Linked DNA regions of Saccharomyces cerevisiae S288C. Changing the gene in region 2 together with the main gene of any one other region gives a genetic interaction. Each region holds a gene or a part of one and is shown on either strand. Other genes may lie near its edges.

What was found.
Region 1: mutations in CCA1 (region 2) and MFM1 together harm fitness more than expected from each alone (negative genetic interaction), as found in Saccharomyces cerevisiae (one large-scale study listed by BioGRID).
Region 3: mutations in CCA1 (region 2) and PPQ1 together harm fitness more than expected from each alone (negative genetic interaction), as found in Saccharomyces cerevisiae (one large-scale study listed by BioGRID).

What each region holds. Positions count from the first base shown.
Region 1 is NC_001148.4:430,129-437,920, reverse strand, and holds MFM1 (Mfm1p), read right to left. Parts: upstream 3,399-7,792; coding exon 2,157-3,398; downstream 1-2,156. Other genes in the region: aldehyde dehydrogenase (NADP(+)) ALD6, read right to left, coding at 3,831-5,333; YPL062W (uncharacterized protein), read right to left, coding at 5,622-6,026; protein translocase subunit TIM50, read right to left, coding at 6,552-7,792. UniProt on the Saccharomyces cerevisiae protein: Mitochondrial inner membrane magnesium transporter required for mitochondrial magnesium homeostasis. Modulates the conductance of the MRS2 channel.
Region 2 is NC_001137.3:516,114-524,292, forward strand, and holds CCA1 (tRNA adenylyltransferase), read right to left. Parts: upstream 6,557-8,179; coding exon 4,916-6,556; downstream 1-4,915. Other genes in the region: aminophospholipid-translocating P4-type ATPase DNF1, read left to right, coding at 1-1,346; BCK2 (Bck2p), read left to right, coding at 2,103-4,658; RPH1 (Rph1p), read left to right, coding at 7,256-8,179. UniProt on the Saccharomyces cerevisiae protein: Nucleotidyltransferase that catalyzes the addition and repair of the essential 3'-terminal CCA sequence in tRNAs, which is necessary for the attachment of amino acids to the 3' terminus of tRNA molecules, using CTP and ATP as substrates. tRNA 3'-terminal CCA addition is required both for tRNA processing and repair.
Region 3 is NC_001148.4:203,508-211,962, reverse strand, and holds PPQ1 (protein-serine/threonine phosphatase), read right to left. Parts: upstream 3,807-8,455; coding exon 2,157-3,806; downstream 1-2,156. Other genes in the region: TCO89 (Tco89p), read right to left, coding at 4,316-6,715; CTI6 (Cti6p), read right to left, coding at 7,022-8,455. UniProt on the Saccharomyces cerevisiae protein: Phosphatase involved in the regulation of protein synthesis. Affects translational accuracy.

The DNA.
Region 1 (7,792 bases), on a different chromosome or scaffold from region 2:
GTCTTTTATATGATTTACAAAATAATCCAGTACTTGGTTCGGTATAAAGATATTGGAATACACTATGACCGAGACTGTAATAAAGACAAGAAGGTTATTGCTATAACTGATGCATCAGTTGGATCAGAATATGATGCTCAATCAAGGATTGGAGTTATATTATGGTACGGTATGAATATTTTTAATGTTTATTCTAACAAGAGCACAAACAGATGTGTATCATCAACAGAAGCAGAGCTTCATGCCATTTATGAAGGCTATGCAGACTCAGAAACGTTGAAGGTAACATTAAAGGAGCTAGGAGAAGGAGACAATAATGACATTGTCATGATCACTGACTCAAAGCCAGCCATTCAAGGATTAAATCGCAGCTATCAACAACCAAAAGAGAAATTCACTTGGATAAAAACTGAAATAATAAAAGAAAAAATTAAAGAGAAGAGTATAAAACTGTTAAAAATTACCGGCAAAGGTAATATTGCTGATTTACTAACAAAACCAGTATCAGCATCTGATTTTAAAAGATTTATACAAGTATTAAAAAATAAAATAACATCACAGGATATTTTGGCCTCAACAGACTATTGATAATTAATTAATGAAGTTCTAAACACACAATGAATATCTGTTGAAGTACAATAATATATCTTTAAGGGAGCATGTTGGAACGAGAGTAATTAATAGTGACATGAGTTGCTATGGTAACAATCTAATGCTTACATCGTATATTAATGTACAACTCGTATACGTTTAAGTGTGATTGCGCCTATTGCAGAAGGAATGTTAAACGAGAAGCTCAGACAATACTGAAGCTGTGTTAAAGACCTATTAGTTGAACATGATATGGTAGGTACATATATGAGGAATATGAGTCGTCACATCAATGTATAGTAACTACCGGAACCACTATTATATTGGTCATGATTAATATGACCAATCGGCGTGTGTTTTATATACCTCTCTTATTTAGTATAAGAAGATCAGTACTCACTTCTTCATTAATACTAATTTTTTACCTCTAATTATCAACATTGATAATAAATTTGCTCATGTCATGGCCCACAAGTTTTTATCCCACAATGAAACATTTTATTATAGCTAAATACGTCATTCTAAACTTAAGAAACCATCTCTATGTGTGAAACGCATGAATTATATAAAATAACTACTGAAATATCTTTGTTACTGATGAGAAATAGATGAATCGTAGATAACTGTGAGGATTCCGTTGTTGTTAAAGACTATAATATCAGGTATACAGAAAATGTTAGAAGTTCTCTTCGAGAATATAGAAATCGACAAAAGGGGTCGGCAGTTTTACATAAATAATTTATGGAATAAATTCAACTATCGTCTATCAACTAGTAGTCATACTACCAGTATATTATCACATACAGTGTAAGAAGATAACATAAGGGATGAGAAACTGTCATCGAAGTTCGAGTAAGTTGAAATTCAACGATTAATGCAACGATTGATAATATAGCAGGATAATGAAACATATAAAACGGAAGGAGGAATAATAGTAATATTATTTGTAGAAAAATCGATTCCCCTTTGAAAATTTCTATATCCTCGAGGAGAACTTCTAGTATATTCTATATACCTAATATTATTGCCTTTATCAACAATTAAATCTCAACAATTATCTCAAAATTCATCAATTTCTCAATGATATCATTTTTTCTTCCTTCTTTTTATACTTTGTGATTCATTATCCTATTATATAATCAATCCTTTCATTTCACTTTCATTAAACTTGATGACTGTTTCTCAATCCTTATCTCATCTTCTTACACCGTATATGATAATATACTGCTAATATTTCTAGTAGTCAGCATGATATTTGATTTTCACCAATCAACCACAAGTCCTGACAGGAAGTTATTATTTAACCACATTACTGTTGCGTGGATAAGTGTTATTATTCTATTGCCTTAAAACTATACAACAAAAGCTCGTATGGCGCAGTGGTAGCGCAGCAGATTGCAAATCTGTTGGTCCTTAGTTCGATCCTGAGTGCGAGCTTTCTTTTTTTCCAAAGAATTTTAATTATATACGTTCGCCTGTACGGCTTTTTATATACTTAAAAAAGTGAAAGTTGTTCTTATTCATTTGAATGCGTATTAAAAAGATTGATTGACTCTTCGTGATAACTATTTCTTCAACAGTTCGTGAACGGAATCTGTTTTTATTTTACTCAATAATGTCATACGTTGTAATTTATGCAAATGTCTGATTCCCTTCGCATAGAGCCAAACAGTAGATATTAACCCCAAAATGGTGACAGTTAAATACGCATAATTACTTTCTTCTATGAAACTTTCCAGATTCATACCATAGATAGAACCCAGGAATAGAGCGCCTCCCAACGAAAGCATTCCTATGGCGTATCTTATCCCTAACAGCATTAATTCGTTTCTGTTAGAATCTAGGATTATATTGATGATTTCTTCTGTGGTTTTCACGTCAGATATGGCGCTTTCGCTTTTCTGAACTATTTCATCGACATAGTTATGATATGTTTCCAGAAGCATTTCAATTTCAGTATGATCATCTTGAACTCTAATTTTTCCAGCCTTTTTGTCGGTTAAGTACATATCACAAAGCATATCGTCTTGCTCTAGCAAGTCATCCAGCATATCTTTAACTAGAACAGCCTTTTTATTGAAGCTGCTCAATTTTTTGTTTTGACCCAGTAAGAACCTTAATTTATCTCTTGTTATACTAAATTCTAGATCTTGAAGCACCCCCTTGCATATGGTTAGCAACACCTTCATTTCACTGGTAAGGTTAGATAATGCCGAAATGAAGATCGTTTCTAAAGCTCTGAATTCATAAGGAAGTGGATCGCTATTTAGCTCGCTTGTTTCTTGATTTTTTAGTCTCAATTTCATATCGTTAATAAAATCCTTGTGAGCTTCTGAGTTTAAAGTTATTCCACTGCCGGCTGAATCGAAGATAATAACCATATCAGGCTTAATTAGGGCTTTCACAGTAAGTAAACTGATTAGTATGGAATTTTCTCGCACGAGCAAACTAGGGACTAAGTCATTCTTCCTTGATTTTTCAATTTTACGTAGATCTCTGGGCAACAAGCCATGTTTTGATACTAGATCCTCACGTTTTATCTCTACTAATGGTGATTTGGCTCGTCCAGTTGAGTCTAGCAAAGTACATCGTATTGTCCCTGATCCATACCCATAGAGCATGTTGTTTCTTTGGATCAAGTTTTTCTGTAGTAGCATTGCAGCGGTATTGTCAGGGTCCACCTTAGGCATTTGCCTAGAGAAATCAAAAGAAGAAAGTGATGAACCAAAAAGCCTTACTGTTCGAAGAAGGATGTTATTATATGATCTCTGATGGCGAAATGGCAGTACTCGGGGGAATGCTCTCATGTGTACCTTTTGATTGGAATTGGTTCGCAGTGTTTATGTTATATTAGCTCAATGTGCTCCCTGTATTTTATATATGAAACAAGTCTTTGTATTGCTATTTTTTTCAAACCTTTTTCTCAACTCTAAAAGCGGTCCACGTTAGTTTTCTTTGGATATAGCAGTTGTTGTACACTAGCTTAAGATGTAAAATTCAATTCAATATGATTTTGTGTGGGATGTTTTAAAGAAGGCACAAGCCTGTTCTCTCTTTTTCTCTTTTTTCATGGATTGTATCGCTTAAAAGGGAGAAATGAAGTAAACGATTCTTTTTGTAAAAATATAAAACCAAATTTTTTAATTTATATGTATACATATTTATTTATGACGTAAGACCAAGTAAGTTTATATGAAAGTATTTTGTGTATATGACGGAAAGAAATGCAGGTTGGTACATTACAACTTAATTCTGACAGCTTTTACTTCAGTGTATGCATGGTAGACTTCTTCACCCATTTCTCTACCGTAACCAGATTGCTTAACACCACCGAATGGAACTCTGGAGTCAAAATCGTTGTATGTGTTGATCCAGACGGTACCGGCCTTCAACATCTTGGCCACCTTCAAACCTGTGCTCAAAGATTCTGTTTCGATACCAGAACCTAGACCGAATTCAGAGCTGTTAGCCATTTCGACACCTTCTTCTAAAGTCTTGAACTTTGCGACAGTGACAACTGGTCCAAAAATTTCTTCCTTAACAATTCTCATGTCTTCATTAACATCGTAGAAAACGGTTGGTCTGATGAAGTAACCCTTGTCACCAACTTTTTCGCCACCAGTTAAGATCTTGGCGCCTTCTTTCTTACCGATATCGATGTAGTTCATAATTGTGTCGAATTGTTGACGGTTAGTGATAGCACCTTGGAAGTTAGCCTTGTCAAATGGATTACCAACTTTGATTTCGGTTTCCAAGTAAGCCTTGAAAGCAGCCAATAGTTCGTCGTAAATACCTTCTTGAACGTAAATTCTAGAACCAGAGGAACAAATTTGACCAGCGTTCTTGAAAATACCGTTTACTAGATTTGGTAAAGTCTTCTTAATGTTAGCATCGTCAAAGACCAAATGGGCGGACTTACCACCTAGTTCCAAAGTGATTTTCTTCAAGTTAGATTCAGAAGAGTCGACAGCAACACTCTTACCGACTTCTGTAGAACCGGTAAAAGCCAGCTTTCTGATTCTTGGGTCGTTGGTCAAAGCAGCACCAACAGTTCTACCAGGACCTGGAACGATGTTGACGACACCAGCTGGAATACCAACCTTCTTACATAAAGAAGCAAAGTATAGGGCATTTAAAGGTGTGACAGCAGCGGGTTTCAAGATACAGACGTTACCCATGGCCAATGCTGGGGCGATCTTCCAAGCCAACATCATTATTGGAAAGTTCCATGGAATAATTTGACCACAGACACCGATTGGCTCTAAGGTGGTGAAGTTCATGTAGCCGTCACCGGTGTTGATTGTTCTACCGTTGACTTTGTCGGCATAGGCAGCAGCATCTCTTAGACAGTTGATTGCAATGGTAACATCCCCACGGGCTAAGGCCAAAGTTTTACCATTGTCCAAAGCTTCAATGGAAGAAACCAAGTCAATTTGGCTTTCCAATTCGTCAGCCAACTTACTTAGTAGACGGCCTCTTTCTCTTGGGTCTTGGGTAGCCCATTCAGTGTCGTGGAAAGCACGGTCGGCACATTCGATAGCATATTCAACATCTTCAGTGGTGGCAGAAGAGACCTCACAAACGGTGTTTTCAGTGGAAGGATCTTCGACGGGATAGGTCTTACCGTCTTGAGCTTTCATAAACTTGTTGTTAATGAATAGACCGGTTGGTTGCTCGTATGTCAAACCATTTGGAAGTGTGATCTTGACTGGTTCAGCAGTGTCAAAGTGTAGCTTAGTCATTGTATTCTGATAGTATGTGTTTGTGTATGTTAAAGATGTTTCTTGATGTTTTTTCTTCTATAAAACAAGAGAAGTAAAAGACTGAACACTTCGAATTGAATATTACCAAACTTCTTATTACATTTATATATGATATCAAGAACTTGTTAAACACGCCAGGCTTGACCTCGAACGGTGTTTTGATGTGTTACTCAACCGTTAAATCGCTGTTTGAGCTGACTAACAAGGTTGCTTGTCTTGAATCCCCCTCACCCCGAATTTATTACGAATTTGCCCACATGGTCGGTGCTATATCGCATTCGTTGCACTCACCGTTCCCAAGAGGAGATCAATGTTACATACGTTCCCGATGCCCAAAACGGTAAAGTTAAAGCGATATAGAAGCTGGATGCATATCTTTTTACACGTCCGCGGCGCGCCCACCCTCTTTTTTCTTTCTGGTTCCTTTTCGGTCGTTTTTCTTTTGTCGGCTGCCTTATTCCCGTGGGGATGAGGCGAGCGCCGTTTCGGCTTGGATACGCCATATGCAACAATGACGTCTCGGTGCTGGCCATGCCCCTCATTTATGTCGAAAAACAGGCCACTGCCCCTCTTTTCTGCGGCCCGGGCAAGAGGAGACCTCATCAGCCACGGCGACGTGCTGGTTGCTTCTACAATGGTATCTTCACCTTTTACATAATCCAATTCTATCATGCCCTTACGTGAGGGGCAGTGTCGTATGTGACGGCAGTTCCTGACCTGATAGTGTGTCTATTTGTCTGTTAGCGTCCGCGGAAAGTTGTGAGTACGGTTTTTAGTTTAGTTTCCACCCGGGATTATACTTTTGGCTACCCTGACTGGAAGGCGGCGGCCTTATATTCGAATGAACATGCCAGGCATTGTACGAATTGAAACTTTTTTCGTATGACGTTACGAATAATTCCATTCGGCCTAAATATTCTTTTTTTTTGGATTTTTATGCTAGTGAAGGAATATGAGATATGCAAAGCGCATCAGATCATTAGGTGTGTCTACATCGTTAAAATTTAACATAGAAAAAATAAATAGGCGTGTTTGTACGTAGTATGGTGATGTTAGGAGGTGCAGTGGTAGTAAGTTAGCAATATACATAAGTTTTATTCACATGACAGTAACAAAATGAGGGTGTGGGGAGTGTACAGGTACATTTACATACACACATAGATACGTAGATACATGAGAAGAGGGTTTACATGAAAATTATTTGGATTCAGCAATCTTCTTCTTTTTCTTTTCCTCTTCAAATAAGGCGTCTACCTCCTTCTGCTTCTCCAATTGTATTTTCATTTGTTCTTCTGGCGAAGGCAAGTTACCTTCAACATAGTCTTTCAGCGTAAATGTTTGCCCGCCCATTTGCTCCTGCTGTATTCTAATTTTTTCCTTTTCTTCCTCAATCATCTTCATGAACATTAAATAGTTCTTTTGTCCTTCTTCATGAATCAAATCGAGCGGGAACTTGGTGCTGCCGCCCAGGGAATTTCCGAGACCTAGTGCCGTCATTGCCCAGTTGCCACCAGATTTATGATCTCCGTAAAATTTATCCTTCAATTTTTTCACACGATGATCAAATTCTTCTGCTAGGTTCTTCTTGTCTTCAAAGCTGTTCAAGATTGGTCTAACATCCTTGGTTTGTTGAGTGGCAAGGTACTCCAAAAATGGAATCAATCTTACTAATTTGTCATCAGCTTCACCATTCCATGGCTCCATTGGAATAGCATTTTCAGGTTGCAATTTGTAACTGTTAGGGTCAGTGTCAATAATGATTACTTTACTCAAATCTCTATTCAATTTTGACAGATCCTTAATGTGCACACCGTCTTTGTAAACACAGTGTTCCTTGAACAAATTATAAGATACGAATGCATGGATTGGATCTAATTTTTCAGCGATTTTGTCAGAGTACATCATATAGTTGGATGAAAACAAAACAATTTCGTAATACTGCGATAGGTAACCCAAGAAGTAGTCAGCACCAGGTCTTTTGGCCGTTCTCCAACCATGCTTTTGAGACCACTCAGAATGAACCAAAAAATCTTCCAATGTGATAACAAGAGTTAATGGCCTTTGGTACGGTGGTGGTGGTGGTGGAGGTAGTAAATCAGGGAAAGGTGGCTCTTGGAAGTAGGTGAACATTGAGTTGAACCTGGCCTTGAATCTTTTATACATAAGTGATAAAGTGTAGCCATTATCGATGTCTTTCTTCAATTCTTCAGACTCTTGAGGCTCCCAATCCCTTGCCATGTAGATTGCAGTACCTGTCAACGCAGACAACGAAAAAATGTAAAACCAGTTAGCATACTTTTCTCTTTTAATATCTGTAGAAGTTTGTCTTTTTCTTCTAGATTTTTCACTTTTGGAAGAAGGTTCATTCTTGTCCTCTCCTCCTTCTCCTGATGTTTCCTCGTTTTTGCCTTGGCCCTTCTCATCGACGTCAACACCGG
Region 2 (8,179 bases):
TGACACTAGCCATCGGCGATGGTTCCAACGACGTCGCCATGATTCAATCTGCGGATGTTGGTATTGGTATTGCCGGTGAAGAAGGTCGACAAGCTGTTATGTGCTCAGACTACGCCATTGGACAATTCAGATATTTGGCTAGATTGGTCCTCGTTCACGGTAGGTGGTCTTATAAGAGACTGGCAGAAATGATTCCTGAGTTTTTTTACAAAAACATGATTTTTGCTTTGGCATTGTTCTGGTATGGTATCTATAATGATTTTGATGGGTCTTACCTGTATGAATACACATACATGATGTTCTATAATTTGGCATTTACATCCCTACCAGTCATCTTCTTAGGTATTCTGGACCAGGACGTGAATGACACAATATCATTAGTGGTCCCTCAGTTATACCGTGTTGGAATTTTAAGGAAAGAATGGAACCAAAGAAAGTTCTTATGGTATATGTTGGACGGATTATATCAGTCTATTATCTGTTTTTTTTTCCCTTACTTGGTTTATCACAAAAATATGATAGTTACGAGCAATGGGTTAGGATTGGATCATCGTTATTTTGTCGGTGTTTATGTGACCACTATTGCTGTAATTTCGTGTAACACATATGTTTTATTACACCAATATAGATGGGATTGGTTTAGTGGATTATTCATTGCACTGTCTTGCCTCGTAGTTTTTGCATGGACGGGAATATGGTCTTCTGCGATAGCTAGTAGAGAATTTTTCAAAGCTGCAGCGCGTATCTATGGAGCACCTTCATTTTGGGCTGTTTTCTTTGTTGCCGTGCTGTTCTGCTTACTGCCCCGTTTCACATATGACAGTTTTCAAAAATTTTTCTACCCAACTGATGTGGAAATAGTAAGAGAGATGTGGCAACATGGCCATTTCGATCATTATCCTCCTGGTTACGATCCAACAGATCCCAACAGACCCAAGGTCACAAAAGCTGGGCAACACGGAGAGAAGATTATAGAAGGCATAGCACTTTCCGACAACTTAGGAGGATCGAACTATTCAAGGGATAGTGTTGTCACAGAGGAGATTCCAATGACTTTCATGCACGGTGAAGATGGAAGTCCTAGCGGATATCAGAAGCAAGAAACCTGGATGACTTCACCCAAGGAAACACAAGATCTTCTTCAATCGCCCCAATTTCAGCAGGCCCAAACGTTCGGAAGAGGCCCATCAACCAACGTCAGGTCATCCTTGGACCGCACAAGAGAACAGATGATCGCCACTAACCAACTAGATAACCGCTACTCTGTGGAAAGAGCGAGAACATCTCTAGATCTACCAGGCGTAACTAACGCAGCCTCCTTAATCGGAACACAACAGAACAATTAATAATGATATCCGAACCATAGCTGATGGAACTCCGCTTTTCACTGTATATATAATATTACATAATATTACTGGATAAGCCTTAGAAGCCTTAGAAGCCTTAGAAGCCTTGGAATTCATGCATACTACAGCGTTAACTCTTTCTTTTAGCAAGTTTTAGTAGCGGACGTGTGGGTTTCTTTGTTCTATAATTAACACTCCCGGTTAACCCGGATCGCTATTATTCAAGGACGCACAATGGTGGGCTAATTTTTTCTTCCGATGGAAAACTGACGCCAGCACTTTCCAGCGCTGGGAACTCTCCACTAACTGGCAAAAAAATTGATTAAGGTCATGATCAAAGGAATTTTTGAAATGTTGTAAAGTAGAGTTAAGAATTAATCAAGCCGTGATACGTATGTTTTTGACTAGGTGAGAGACTATATTTATCAAAAATAGTTTTTTATACTAACAGAAAGTTTATTATATCATAGAAATCCTAGGCCTATTGTTATTATTTGCGTGAAAAAAGGTTCATGCCTAGTTATTCAGGATATTAATCAGGCATAGTCATAGTTTTGTAATACACGTCTTTCACTCCTATTTCCGGTTAACATTCGCTAATATCCATCAAATTATTGACTTTTTTTTCAGTGGATTTGTTGTTAATAAAGGAAACAATCAGATCAGCCATTTAGGGAAGTCTTTTAAGAAAGCTCAGAAGGAGATCTAAGACAAGAAGCAAGGCAGTCTTGATTTATCGCTCAAAACCAATAGCACATGCCGAAGAATAGTCACCACCATCGTTCCAGTTCGGTTAATTCCACAAAGAGTCGTTCTACGGAATCTACGAATAAATGGAAAATTCCGCACTATTATCGCAGATCCGCTAGCGGCAGCACACAAGCTTCGCCGGACAGGAACTCCTCAACAGGCTCATGTAGCACTCCAGTATTACCTACTATGAATGTTATGTCTAGCCCGAAAAAAGTTTTGCTAGAGGATCCCAGAGACAACCATACTAAGGCGAAGAAGAGTAGTAGAAAGAAATCAGGTGAAATGGTCTTCGTCAATTATACTGTACAGGACACGGCTAACGAAAATGATACTGACTTGCAAACCCAGCCGGTTTCTGTGCCAGCACCAAAGGCGAAATTAAAGAAGAAATCCTCCAAAAGGAGAATGCTGAAGATATTTGGATCGTCAAAGAACGAACACATAGAGGACATCGTTGAAGAGCAACCAATGGTGCTTCAAATGGATTCAGAATCTAAACCCCTTTCGGGAACCCCTATCTCAGAAAGCGGAATCGACGCCTCGTCACTAACAACCAAAAGATCTTATAACTCGTTCTTAAAACACAATAGGCTAAACGGTAAAACTCCGTTCTCTGGAAACTTGTCCTTTCCATCATTAAACATGATGGGTAACACTACTGATCTGCCTATTGACAATAACGATTTTTGTTCCGAGAAAGAAGTCGTTCCGAAATCAACTCATGATCCTTCACTAGCAAAACCGCCATCAAGGTTCACTGAAAGCGAAACAAATTCTACTCCCAACTTATCAAGTATACCTCTCATGAACACAAAAAATACAAGATTGAAGTACAATAAAGTGGCGCCTCAGAGTTCAGACCGACAAAAGTCACAGGAAAGTGGGCTATATCATTCTACCGAATCATTCAACTTCAAAGATCAAAACTACAGTAACAATAAATCCTCTTTAAGTCTGAACTCCGATTTAAGTACACCCCACTTTGCAAAGCATTCACCTGATTCACCAAGAACTTCAAGATCTTTCAACTGCGGAGACTCACAAAGTAAAGTTAAATTACCGGAAGAAAATGACGCTTCTATTGCATTTAGTAAGATGTTTACTAGAAAACGAGCCAACACTGGCGGGTCCACGTGTTCGCTAGCCTCACCCACTATTGCACAAACTATTCAGCAATCAAATATAAAAGTTAATAAATTGCCAACTCAGCGAACCACTTCAGTTGGCTCATTATCATCCATGTCAAATCGTTATTCACCAATAAGAGTTGCATCGCCAGGAAGAGCAAGATCCGCAACTCGTGGGTCTTCCCTTTATAGATTATCCAGAGACCTTAATTCTTTACCAAGCGTCACTGATCTACCAGAAATGGATAGTACAACCCCAGTTAACGAAATATTCTTGGATGGCCAACCACAGCATAAAAGTGGCAGTGTCAAAGGAGGGCATAGGAAGAAACAAGAATCTATCTCTGATGCTCAAAGAATTCAACATTCTAATTCGTACATTACAACACCTTCATCTTCTCTGGTGACTCCTCCTTACTACATGACAGGTTACACATTACCAAGTTCTGCATCTGCTTCTTCAACTCCAAATGTGCTTGAAACACACAATATGAACTTTGTTCCAAGTACCAGTACTGTTACAAGTTATCGCCCATCTAGCAATTTTTCCTCATTTGACAAAGAATACAGTAACGAAAACGACGCTAGTGGGGAATTCTCTGCTTTCAATACTCCAATGGAGAATATACCGGCACTAAAAGGTATACCTAGATCCACGTTAGAAGAAAATGAAGAAGAGGATGTCCTAGTACAAGATATTCCGAATACGGCACACTTCCAAAGAAGGGATATTATGGGGATGGATACTCACAGAAAGGATGACAGTTTAGATTTTAACTCTTTGATGCCACACGGTAGTACAACTAGTAGCAGCATCGTAGATTCTGTTATGACGAACTCAATATCCACTACAACAAGCAACGCGACCGGAAACTACTTTCAAGATCAAGATAAGTATACATTGGTAAATACGGGATTGGGATTGAGTGATGCAAACCTCGATCATTTTATTAGATCTCAATGGAAACACGCTTCTCGATCAGAATCCAATAATAATACCGGAAATCGCGTTTCTTACAGTGGCTCAACACCAAACAATGTTGATACAACAAAGACTAATTTGCAAGTGTATACCGAGTTCGATTTTGAAAACCCAGAGTCGTTTTTCCATGAGCAATCGAAGCTACTAGGTGAGATGGGCCACAGCAATAACAACAGCAACAGCGCCATCAACATGAATGAACCCAAGTCTGCGGATACATACATTGGAAATATATCTCCGGATACTTCAGCAACTGTTTCATTAGGCGACCTGATGGGCTCAAACGTTTCAAACAACAGTGAAAGAAATTTTTACGATGGTCATACTTTCGTTCCACAGTATCAGGCGAACTCATCTGTGGAAAACTCAAATAATCAAAATGCAGCACCAATTGCAAATAACGACATTGATAATAATTTACAGTCTTTTTATTTTGATAATAGCAACTAAAAAAGGAATGAAAAAAAAAAAAAAAAGTTCAAAAATAGTAACAGATATCTTTCGAAAAAGTTAAAAACTGGTAAAAAATTTTGAATAGAGTATATAAAAACTAATAAATATGTTTAGTTATCATACACCATAGAATAACTACTAGAGATATTATTTCATTTTCGTTTTCATTTTTTTTATTTTTTTCTTTTCAATAAGGTAACAGAAAGTTATTTATGCATTCTTGTTCTACATGTCTTATGTATACTAATAAGCTACTACAGGTATTTTGGTAGTATGGCTTTTAAATGAGTTATTAATTCTTGATCAGTCCCTGTAGGATTATCAAACTGCCACCTAATCGCTTCGTTATTAATTTTACCCAGCCATGGACCTGGCTTCATTTGAAGTAGTTTTGCCATTTGTTTTCCGTCCACTATTGGTTTTAGTTCATGACAATTATTCAAATTATTGTCAAATATGTAAGAATAAAATTCATTGTAATTTTGGAAAAGTAATTCAATTTTTTTAGTTTCAAGCTTGGGAATCTTTAAAAATGCATCTGATAGAGATGCAAAATGTGCTGTTTCCCATTCGCCATTAAAGTTCCGTAGAAATATACCGATTTCGGATTTTTTTAGCTGGGAACGATCTGCAAACTTAGCAAGTATTTCCTCATATGAACATATTGAATCTACGGTCTTGGCAATAACTGCTGCATCATTTTTACTCAGCTTCAATCCTTCCTTCACAATGCTTTCTGTCACCGAAACCAGGTTGTTAATTTTCTTCTTTGGGTTCCCGATTATTTGTAAATTAGCCATGGGGGACAGGATCGCACTCAATATAAAATTTTGCTGAAATCCTGGCGAACGACCAATTTTTTCCCTTAAGATAGGAAGCTTCTCTAAAAACATTGGATATAATTCAATAAAACTTTTCAAGTGTGAGTTTAGTATGTTATCATTGTATACATGATTAATTTTGTCCATATCTTGACAATTCTCTTCGTTGAATTTTACGACGGAGCTATCATTATGCCAAAAAAAGATAACATTTTCAAGATGAGCCCTTTGAATCAGCTGCAAAGCCAATAAAGGGGTTGGTCCTACTAATATTTTCTCCATCTCCACACCAACTCGCTCTCTAGAAATTTTTGAATTGAATGCAACATTAATCTGAGGATCGCCCATTTCAGCCATCACTTCCGGATCTATGGTAAAGTTGAATCTAGAAGCAAAACGGATCAACCTCAAAACCCTCAAGGGATCATCCAAAAATGTTTGTTTTGCAGGAAGCGGAGTACGGAGAACGCCATCTTTTAGATCTTGCAGACCTCTCTTGGTGAAATCTTCCACTTCACCTTTATGAATGTTATAGAAAAGAGCGTTCAATGTAGCATCCCTTCTTAAAGCGTCTTCCTCGGGTGTGCCAAAGCACACTTTAGGTATCCTGGAAAGTTCAGTATACTTTTCAGATCTTAAATTGACAAAATCCACTTCAACGCCAAAGAGCTTAGTAGTGGCAGTTTCCAGATGCTTGGATTTCTCGGGATTCTTGTCAATCTTGTGGATATTATGAGGCTTGGCTCCATATTTGGCGTAATGTTGTTGCAAATACTCGTTCAAACCAGTAGCAAATTGCTCACCTGACATCACATTGATGGCAATATCCAAGTCGTGAGAACCTTGTCCCAGAAGCTTGTCACGCACCCATCCGCCCGTGATCCGAAGAGTCAATGGCTCAGGCTTATTGTGGTACTTTTGATTGTACAAGTCTGTATAATCGTTCAGCAAGTTACAGATGTTCTGTTCCACTTTGGTTAAGGTGATTTTGGGTGCATTTAGAACAAAATTAGAATTCGTCATCGTTTTCTGAGCAGCACTATTCATCAGTAGAGATATAGTAGACCGTAGCATACACAAAAAAAGCCCTTATAACCCACGGATACGAATTAATCTCGAGGGAAGCGTTGCGATGTATTATGTAGTTTCCTTTAGTACATTGTTAATATGGTAGATTTTTGCGATTCATTTTTCAACTTTTCAACCCTAACGAATGTTTTTTAGGGCTGAGTAACGACAAGAACACAACCCTAAAAATCAGATGACCTAAGGGTTTGGTGAATCGAGAAAGTATGCCCTATTTCCCCCGCCCATACACCCCATAAGCCTTAACCGCAGCCCTCCTCTCCCCTAAACGTTTCTTTTTCTTTTTCCATTTTTTTTTTTTTTTTAGTTTTACTTTCTTTTTATTCGGAAAAATCTTTTCTATATTTTTCAAGGGTAACCTCATCGCCATGCAATTAATCACATAGACTCCTTAAGTAACAATGGCAAGGCGATAATTTTAAGAGAATTGCAGACGCTGTACATAGATCGTTATCAGCAAAACATATATTCGCATCGAAGGCGTTGCTTGTCCCTGAAGTAGCTACTTGCGGTTTTCATCAAGCGGCCAATTTAATCATTCTATCAGCATTATTTTAAAATAGGGGGACTTAACCTTTCTATTAGTACCACTTATTTTATAGATCTGCTGGAGAAAAATAAACAGATAAAAAAAAGGGAAAAAAAGAATAAGACTGTCTTGGTGAGGATATTCAGTTGCGTGAAATCATGACGAAACTAATCGCTCCTTCAGAAATCGTGGGCGGAGTGCCCGTCTTCAAACCCACATACGAGCAATTCGAAGATTTCTATGCATACTGCAAGGCCATAAACAAATATGGCATGAAAAGTGGTGTTGTGAAAGTAATCCCACCTAAAGAATGGAAAGACAAATTAGATCTGCCTTATTCTGCGGAAACGCTCCAAAAGATCAAGATTAAATCACCTATTCAGCAGCATATTTCTGGTAATAAAGGTCTTTTTATGGTGCAGAACGTGGAGAAAAACAAGACCTATAACATTATACAGTGGAAAGATCTTTCTAAGGACTATGTGCCTCCGGAGGATCCTAAAGCAAGACGTAATTCTAGGAAAGGCTCCGTTTCCAAATCCACGAAGTTGAAACTGAAAAATTTTGAATCGTCTTTTAATATTGATGATTTTGAACAGTTCAGGACGGAGTATACAATAGATTTATCTGACTTCCAAAATACGGAGAGATTAAAGTTCTTGGAAGAGTATTATTGGAAAACGCTAAATTTTACTACGCCTATGTACGGCGCAGATACACCAGGATCAATCTTTCCTGAAGGGCTGAACGTTTGGAATGTTGCCAAACTACCGAACATCTTGGACCATATGGAAACAAAGGTTCCTGGGGTGAATGACTCCTATCTATACGCTGGTCTATGGAAGGCTTCTTTTTCTTGGCACTTGGAAGATCAGGACCTGTATTCCATAAATTATATTCATTTCGGTGCCCCAAAACAGTGGTATTCGATACCGCAAGAGGATAGGTTCAAATTCTACAAATTCATGCAGGAGCAATTTCCCGAAGAAGCCAAAAATTGTCCTGAATTTTTAAGACATAAAATGTTTTTGGCTTCGCCCAAACTGCTGCAGGAAAATGGCATACGATGCAATGAAATTGTC
Region 3 (8,455 bases), on a different chromosome or scaffold from region 2:
TACCATACACTACTTCATACACCAATTACAAATCTATTAGTGGTATACTTTTACTGTAGACAATGTGGATTTTGATGTAATTGTTGGGATTCCATTGTGATTAAGGCTATAATATTAGGTATATAGATATACTAGAAGTTCTCCTCAAGGATTTAGGAATCCATGAAAGGGAATCTGCAATTCTACACAATTCTATAAATATTATTATCATCATTTTATATGTTAATATTCATTGATCCTATTACATTATCAATCCTTGCGTTTCAGCTTCCACTAATTTAGATGACTATTTCTCATCATTTGTGTCATCTTCTAACACCGTATATGATAATATACTAGTAACGTAAATACTAGTTAGTAGATGATAGTTGATTTTTATTCCAACATTTACTGGTACAATAGGTGTATGATATTTTCCCAAAGTTTAAATTTATATAATATAAGTGGCTTGTGCATTAATGCTCTTGAACGAAACTGGATAACGAAAACTGCAAATACTTGTAGTTTTAAACAGACACTTTCTGGGATAGGTCTATCAGCGAAGCTTGGGAATGTTTCGCCAAATTACCTGTATCCTTTCATGAGCGTGAGCAGGTTTAGGTCATGGTCACATCTTATTATATAAATTCTTTCAGAAGATTGTCAATTGTCCATCTATCGCCATAGATTATCTGAGAGCGAAGTTCCATTATGTCTACTAGTAGAAAATAATTTGAAGTTGAAATATAATAGCATTACAAAATTTTTTCTTTATATAGTCCGGTCTTGAAGAAGGATAACAATATTAAGTGTATGAAGACACAAGAACTTTTTCTTGGAAATTTGGATTTTTATGGGAGGAAACCTACAGCGGCAATGTATAATTATGATTAGTTCATCCTTTGCTGCCATCTGTTCGCAATTATTCATGCAATTGTATGATTATTGTCAGGCATTTCAACTTCCGGTAGATTCGTTTGTAATAATAGGTGAATTTTGTGTTGACATTATCAAACCGTTAAGATAGTGTTAGTTGCCAATTAGCATTTGCCTCGATAGAATGTGACGTTAGTTGTGGTACTAGGAATAAAAGTTGATGGCCAAACATTTTTCCTGCACATTTCCTTCAGCGTTTTCAGAAAAGAGAATTTGAGTAAAAATATTTTTGATGTTTAGGTTACCAATATCTCATTAATATAAATTTGAAAACAATGAATTTTGGGTTATACTTGGAGTGCATTTTATTGTGGTTAAAGGCTACAATATTAGCTAAACAGAATGTACAAGTAGTTTTCCTGGAGAATAAAAGAATTCTAAAAGAGAATCGATAATTCTATACAATAATATAGTTATCTCTTCTTTCGTTTATGTACTGTCGTTCTTGTTTTATTACGTTATTAATCCTTGCAGTGCACTTTTCATGATGACTGGTGACTGTTTCTCAATTTTTACATCATTTTTTTTTGAAAACATGATGATATACTAATAATTTGGATACTAGCAATAAATGCTTCTTGATCCTCTATTCCAACAAAAAAGTAACAAGAGCTTACTGATCTTCGGTTTTTATTTTACCTTATCCCAAATATCAAATTGAAATATACCGATTGTTTTAATCCGTTTTGTTGTATATTATCGTAATAATATGCAGATAATATACATATATACGTATTACGCCGATTAGGCTGACACTTTAACAAAATTTTCTGTCCAATTATTGTCCGATATAGTGTAACGGCTATCACATCACGCTTTCACCGTGGAGACCGGGGTTCGACTCCCCGTATCGGAGTTTTCTTTTTGCTTCCTTCCGCCCTTCCAAGTTGTTGCATAATCTTATCTGTCAAAATATGAACGCTTGAAAACTATAGATTATAATTATCATTTATTTAGCCATAATGGAGGGAAGAATAATATGATTGCATATCAAAGGTAAAAAAAGTCGAGTAAATGACTTATAAACGTAAAAAATATATTGATAAAAGACATAAACGAGGCCATGAAGGTGGGAAAAAAAAAAATAACTGCATAATAATGTTAACTAAATGAAAATAAAATGAAAAATAAAATGAAAAATAAAATGAAAAAAACAAATCATAGGACAAAAAGTTTCCAAATGAAGGATAAGAGGCCTAAAAACCAATGTGCTTTCCAGGCAAAACCAATCTTAGCAACAGCTACACTTTGGTTTTGTATAACTTCTTTTTATTTTTCAATGCACGCGGCTTTAACAGTTCAAAGCTACACATCATACCCGTTGTAACGCTCATTACTGCCCCCCAATTATGAAATTCTCCACAATAATTTGGTGCTGAAAAGATTGTGACAAACTTTTTCCTGGCAAAGAATTCATAACCATCTTCTACGACCATATGTCCCCTAAGTATTAAATCGAATTTAAACTTAGCACAAAAATCAAGAACGTTCCTCTTAGAAAATGTGTATGAAACACCACGATCATTTTCTGACCAATCAGTTACTTGAGGGTCTGGGTCACTCCACAGTAAGTCTGTAACCAGCCCGCTTTCAGGAATATCCGTTGGTCTTGCGACTTTTTCGATTTGCTTCATGTCATGTAAATCGGGCGATATACCTCCATGAACGCAAAAGATCTTATCTTGAATAATTGCTGCTAATGGCAAAGTATTAAATACGTCAACGAACATTTTCCATACTTTCGAGCTCAATCGCCTTTTGCATTCATCATAGAAACCGTACATCTTTGTGACATTAGCAGATTCGTGATTACCCCTTAACATAAAAAAGTTGTCTTTGTACTTTATTTTGTAACATAATAACAATAGTATTGTTTCCAATGAGTTCTTACCACGGTCCACATAATCACCCAAGAACAGATAATTAGTATCAGATGGCACACCAGACAACTTCAAAATTCTCAATAAATCATTAAATTGTCCATGAACATCACCGACAACTTTGATAGGCGCTTGTAATCTCAAAAGAGTAGGTTGATTCAAAAAAATTTCTCTTGCATGATAGCAAATGAGTTGAATTTCCCAAGAATGGAATGGAAAGTTCTTTTTTTTGGACGTTTTTGTAATTTCTCTTGACTCACCCACTTGTAGTAATTTTTCGATCGCAACATCGATATCAAGACCTTCATTTGAAGAGGTATCATGAGAATACCGTCTCAAAAATATAGGCTTCTTGCTACTTTTAGGATTAGGTATCCCAGATGTTGGGGACGAAGGCGCACCAAAAGAACCTGCCTTAACCGAAGATGAAGGAGACTTAACTCTGGACGATAACCCTGAAGATTTTAAAAATGATGAGGTTGATGAGGAAGCAGACGTAGCGGATGAGTAGTAGGAGGAAAAAGAATATGAGGATGGAGAAGAATAATTTGATTCACGATAAGAGGGTGATGTCAGGATATTATTTGAGGTAGTGGCAGTGGTAGTAGAGGAAGTTCTTGCGGTATTGATCAGCTTCGGAGCAGTTGCTGATGAGGATAGGGCTTTAGCGACAGAAACATCGATATCTAGGTACAAGCTCTTCAAGTTTTCATCCTTAGTGTATATTTTCTGTTTATGGGCATTCTCACCAGGAATGAGCAAATTATCATTGCTAGCTCGTTTATTGTTGTTGTTTTTCCCGGCCGATGCTAAAGTGTTGTAATTGTTTATAGAATGTTTATTATTGAATTTCTTGATAGTAGGTAGAGACCTACTATCATCTGGGTCATTAGGTTCGTTACTGTTGAGATCATCTGAAGGTGTAGTTAATTGTTGCTGACTAGAGTTTGAATTAGTTGAGCAATTCGGTACTGCAAAGTTATTATTTGATCTGGACGGGCTTCTTCTCATAAATAGAATATAAGTGAAGGGAAAACAATATCTAACTTGAAAGGAAAATGGACTAAAGTAATAAAATAGGTTTTTTGTAAGGACAAGCTTGTAAATGAAACGTCAGAGACTCGGTAAAACAAGATTAATTTGAATGTAGTGATTCTGACCGATAGTATTTATAGTCCGTGAGGAATACTTACCAAAAAATTGCTAAAAGAATAGACACGTTTAAGGTATATTTACTAATGCCATTTTTTAAGAGATACGGAATCCAGCGAAATCGCTAAATTTGCGGTGGTTGCATTCAACGTTTTTCTTTCTTTTTGTTCGATAATTTATCATTTATTACGTTAACCGGGTTATACAAATACGCCTCGTTAGCTCGTATAGAAGTACATGTCCTTTTATAGTGCATAAACATAGTATGTTCCTTAAGTGTCCAAACATATTCGCTCTCTACGAACTTCGCGTTTTACCTCGAAAGCATTAGCTACTCTTTTAAACTGTGTGCTTCGTGTTGGTTGTTTTCACCTTTGTTGTGGCTGTGTATGCATGTAGCCCACATTTTCCATCCTGCGATTCACTGCCCTCGTAGTCGGCTGCAGAGAGTTAATGACGCGTTGGTGGTGCAAAGTCGTGCTGGAACCCATCGGGCCCCTCAGCAAGTTACGTGCATTCTGTGAAGCAGTGTGGCCAACGCTGTGGTTTGTACTCGTTGTCCTATTCTTGTTGATTGGATTAACATCCTTGTTAAATAAGTAACTTTCGCTTTTCCATATACCGGACAACACTGCCTGAATCTTTGCACTTGCAAGATGTGGATAAAGATCATCAAATTTTTTGTCATAGTTAGTAAAGAGCAAATCGTCCTCATCCTTATGATCTGTATCACTGCTAGAATGTGCGATTGACTGAGCATCGTTATGGCTTTTTTTCCTGATATTATTTGCATTTCCCGTTATTATAGGTTGTACTCTCAACAATGCTTCATCTAATGGGTTGTAAAATCTTTTTACATTAGAGTATTCATGGGATATTCTCTCAAACTCCCTTTTCGCATCAATGTTTCCTGCCATAAAGATAGAGTCACTACCGTCATTTTGTGAACTTAAGTCCATAATAGAATTCTCCCTCTGCAACCATAATTTTCTTTGTGTTCTTGATTCTGCATCAATCCCATCTGATTTAAGGAACTGGGCGAAGCTATTAAATTTGGCACCTGAGTTGGATTGTCTGTTTGCATCGCTACCGGAGTTCGTACTAGATGTAATATGTTCGTTGGACAATGGAGAGGCCGGGGCTGCAGAATTTTTGTTGAGATCGTTGGATCTCAGAAGTAGATTCTGATTACCTTTCTTGTGAAAAATATTATTCATTCTTGAACCATGGAAGCTTTCAGGAGCAGCTCTCCTCAAATTATTGGTTAAACTCGATATGGAGGTCGAAAAGTTGTGCTGTGGTACATTATTATCTTTACTACCGATGTTAGCAATGGTGGGGAAAGTAGACTGAGAGTTCGGTATATTTTGGCCAAGTTGAGATCTTCCACCATTTTTCTTGCTCTTGCGCAATTTGCCATCATCCAGTTCATTAAAAGTATCACCTGAAGCCATATGCTCACCCGAGTCATGAATTTCATTCCCAAGCGAATTTTGGATGGATGATGAATTTTCAAATCTACGTTCAACTCCAGTCGACTGGGAGAGAATCATATTAGGCGCATAATTTTCCAGTAAGCTATGCCCTTCAATATCCTTGGTACCAGCGGAAGAAATATCATCAGGCTTGATTAGATCTTCTTCTTCGTTTAATAATTTGTGTTGTTTAGAACTTTGTCTCCTAAGAGACATAAAGCTCGAGTCGCTTTTTCTTGATGAATTACTCCTAGGGGCATCAATGTGATCTTCCTGATCAAACTGTTCATCTGAATGACTTGGTTTTTGATTACTTTTATGTGCAGCTAAGGTATTACCAACATCAAGAATTTTTTTTTCTTTATCATATGGTGCTTCTGATATATTATCGCCCGCTTTAACCAATGAGGCCCTCAAATTTTGAGAATGGCTGGACAAGTCATCAATATCAGCTTCCTTCGTCACCTTTGATTGCCCCTCTTCATTGATTACACTTGTTGCATTCAGTTTTGTTTCAATTGAGCTTGGAGATGTTTCTCCATCTTTCTGATGTTCTATAGAATGGCTTGATTCTCCGAAATAGTTATTGGAAGATAAATGAGGTAATGGTAAGGATACAGCTCTATGATTTTCCTTTCCATCAGTACCTGATTTATCTTCTTCTTGTTCATCTATTGAATCCGGGGATTGTAATTCATTCTGATTTAATTGCTGCACATTCTTTTTTTCTTCAGGCATAACATGCTCGGCTATTACTTTATCATTATTCACCTTTCCATCTTCAATGTTGTCTTCCGAAAAACATTCCACCTCCTCGTCAGTAGTAGATTCACTCTTTTTAGATTCTTGCGCATCTCGAAGACTCAGAACAGATTGGGTACTTTTACTTCTTCGTGGTTTCAGGCCGAAACCAGCAGTTCCAGTATTAGAATGACTGCTGTTCTTTGGACTGAGCAGCGTATTATGCACCGGACTATGAAAGGATGCTGATCTTTTTCCTTGATTGGACTTTACTCTTGTTAAAGCTGTCATATTCAACCCACTAATCGTTCGCTTTCTGAAAAGTGCATCAGAACTCTTGCATTTCTGAGAAACGTTGTGCTTATTAAAATAATCATTATCCAGGGTGCCATCATGTGTTAAAACTCTACGCAAACCTTTGAAGCTTGCGTTACTCTTTGCTCTCGACCTAGTCGAAAACTGTCTAAATGGCTTTGACTGGTGTGATACTGTTGACGCATTAAGAGATGTTACATCAGTGTCTGACTTCAAAGTCCTTCCTCGATGAACCATAATTATAGTTACTCAGTAAGGATATATGATATATCCCAATATCTATGTTTACCTGACCCGTAAATCGATAGAATGTGCTAGTCCATTAGATGTTTGGATTCCTTAATCATCGTGCCAGCCAAATCGCTATACCATCCGCAACTAGCTATCCTTGCGGTTACCCGTACAAGAGTAAGCTCGGTTGATAAAAACAACGTTGAATTAGTCGTTTTTATATCCATATAGATGTATATATATGTATAGATGTGTTTGTTCGCCTCATTACAGTTATACTTTGGTTGAGAATAATATTGCAGTGTTTTGCGTTTATTGAATGGCATTAGTGTTATTTGAATATTTTTTCTCCCATAGTAGTAACTCTCTAGTCAGGTCGTCCATCATTGATAGACTTTCATTATAACCGTTGTAAATCGTATCAACTTTTTCTACGAAATGCTGGTTTTCCACGAATCGTACAAATTCCTCTCGATCAGACTGATCTTCACTCAATTCCCATTGAGTTCTAGAAATGAACTCCAAAATAGCGGATACCCTTCTTCTCATTTCGTTTAATGAGGTCCTTTGAGGGGGTAATCTGGGCTTTACTGGTTTGTCGGTACCTATATCAGCACTCCTTCTATTTTGGTTGGTGTCTGAACTTGTATTGCTTCGACGAGTTCTGTTGCCCTTTCTTGCTGGTTTGGAAACTCTTTTAGAACCCCTCGAACTAGCTTTCCTTGAATCATCCTCAGAAGAAGATATTGAGGTTAGGGGTAGGATGGGTTCATCAGTTTTCTCAGTGTCTTGCGCCGAACCCGTAGAAGATTCCTTTTCTTGACTAGCTTCTTTTTCCACATCATTTGTTTTTTCCATTGATTGCTCTTTCGATGGTCGTAGGCTTTCTTTCATATCATCATTTGTTACCGAGTCCGGTTTGCCTTCCGTTAGCATAACATCCGTTTGTAATCGAGTGGTGCCGTTGTGATTGTCGGTATCACCTTGGTATATATCAGCATCATTTTCATAACTTTCAGGATCTTCTTGATGTGATGTCCTCCTGCTTTCTTTCAAGGCTTTTTCAAGCATTCTTTGATATTGCTTTTCTTCTCTTGCCATGAAAGTTGCCCTTTTTCTATCCAGTAGCTTCTTATCACTATCTCCAGGATCCAGTGAATACTGATCGGTAGAAGCATCATCCATTGAATTCCTCCTCCTCCTTCTACTTGACCTCGTGTTGCCGTCCTTGGCTAATGCTACAGCCGAAGCTTCATCTTCTACTTCATCTTCTTCGTCGCCGATATCGTCGACGTTATCATCGGTATTGCTGGTATTTCTGGGACTTTTCTCTGCTTCATTGGCGGCATGAGATTTACTTGCAGCTGCACTTCGTGCCTTCCTTCTTGATTGCCTCCTTTTCTCTTGCACAGGTTTATAGATTGACCTTGCTTCGCCAGTATCTGTGGTAAAGAGCTGATGTAACTCCGGTCTGCATTGCTCGCACCAATATTTATCAGGTGCGTTGTCTTGAGTAATACTCACACAATAACCGTGCTGCCAGGAACTGCACTGCTCACATTGAATGAAAAATCCGGAGTCATCTGGAGTATCGAGCTCTCCACAGATACAGCGAGTTTCGCCTTCCTCTTCCTCGACTTCCCCCTCTCCACCTTCCATAGGAACATCTTCTTGTTTTACACTTTCTTCCTGTACACTTCCAATCGCCGCCGTTGTTGTCGCTGTTGATGTTGTTGATATAATGTC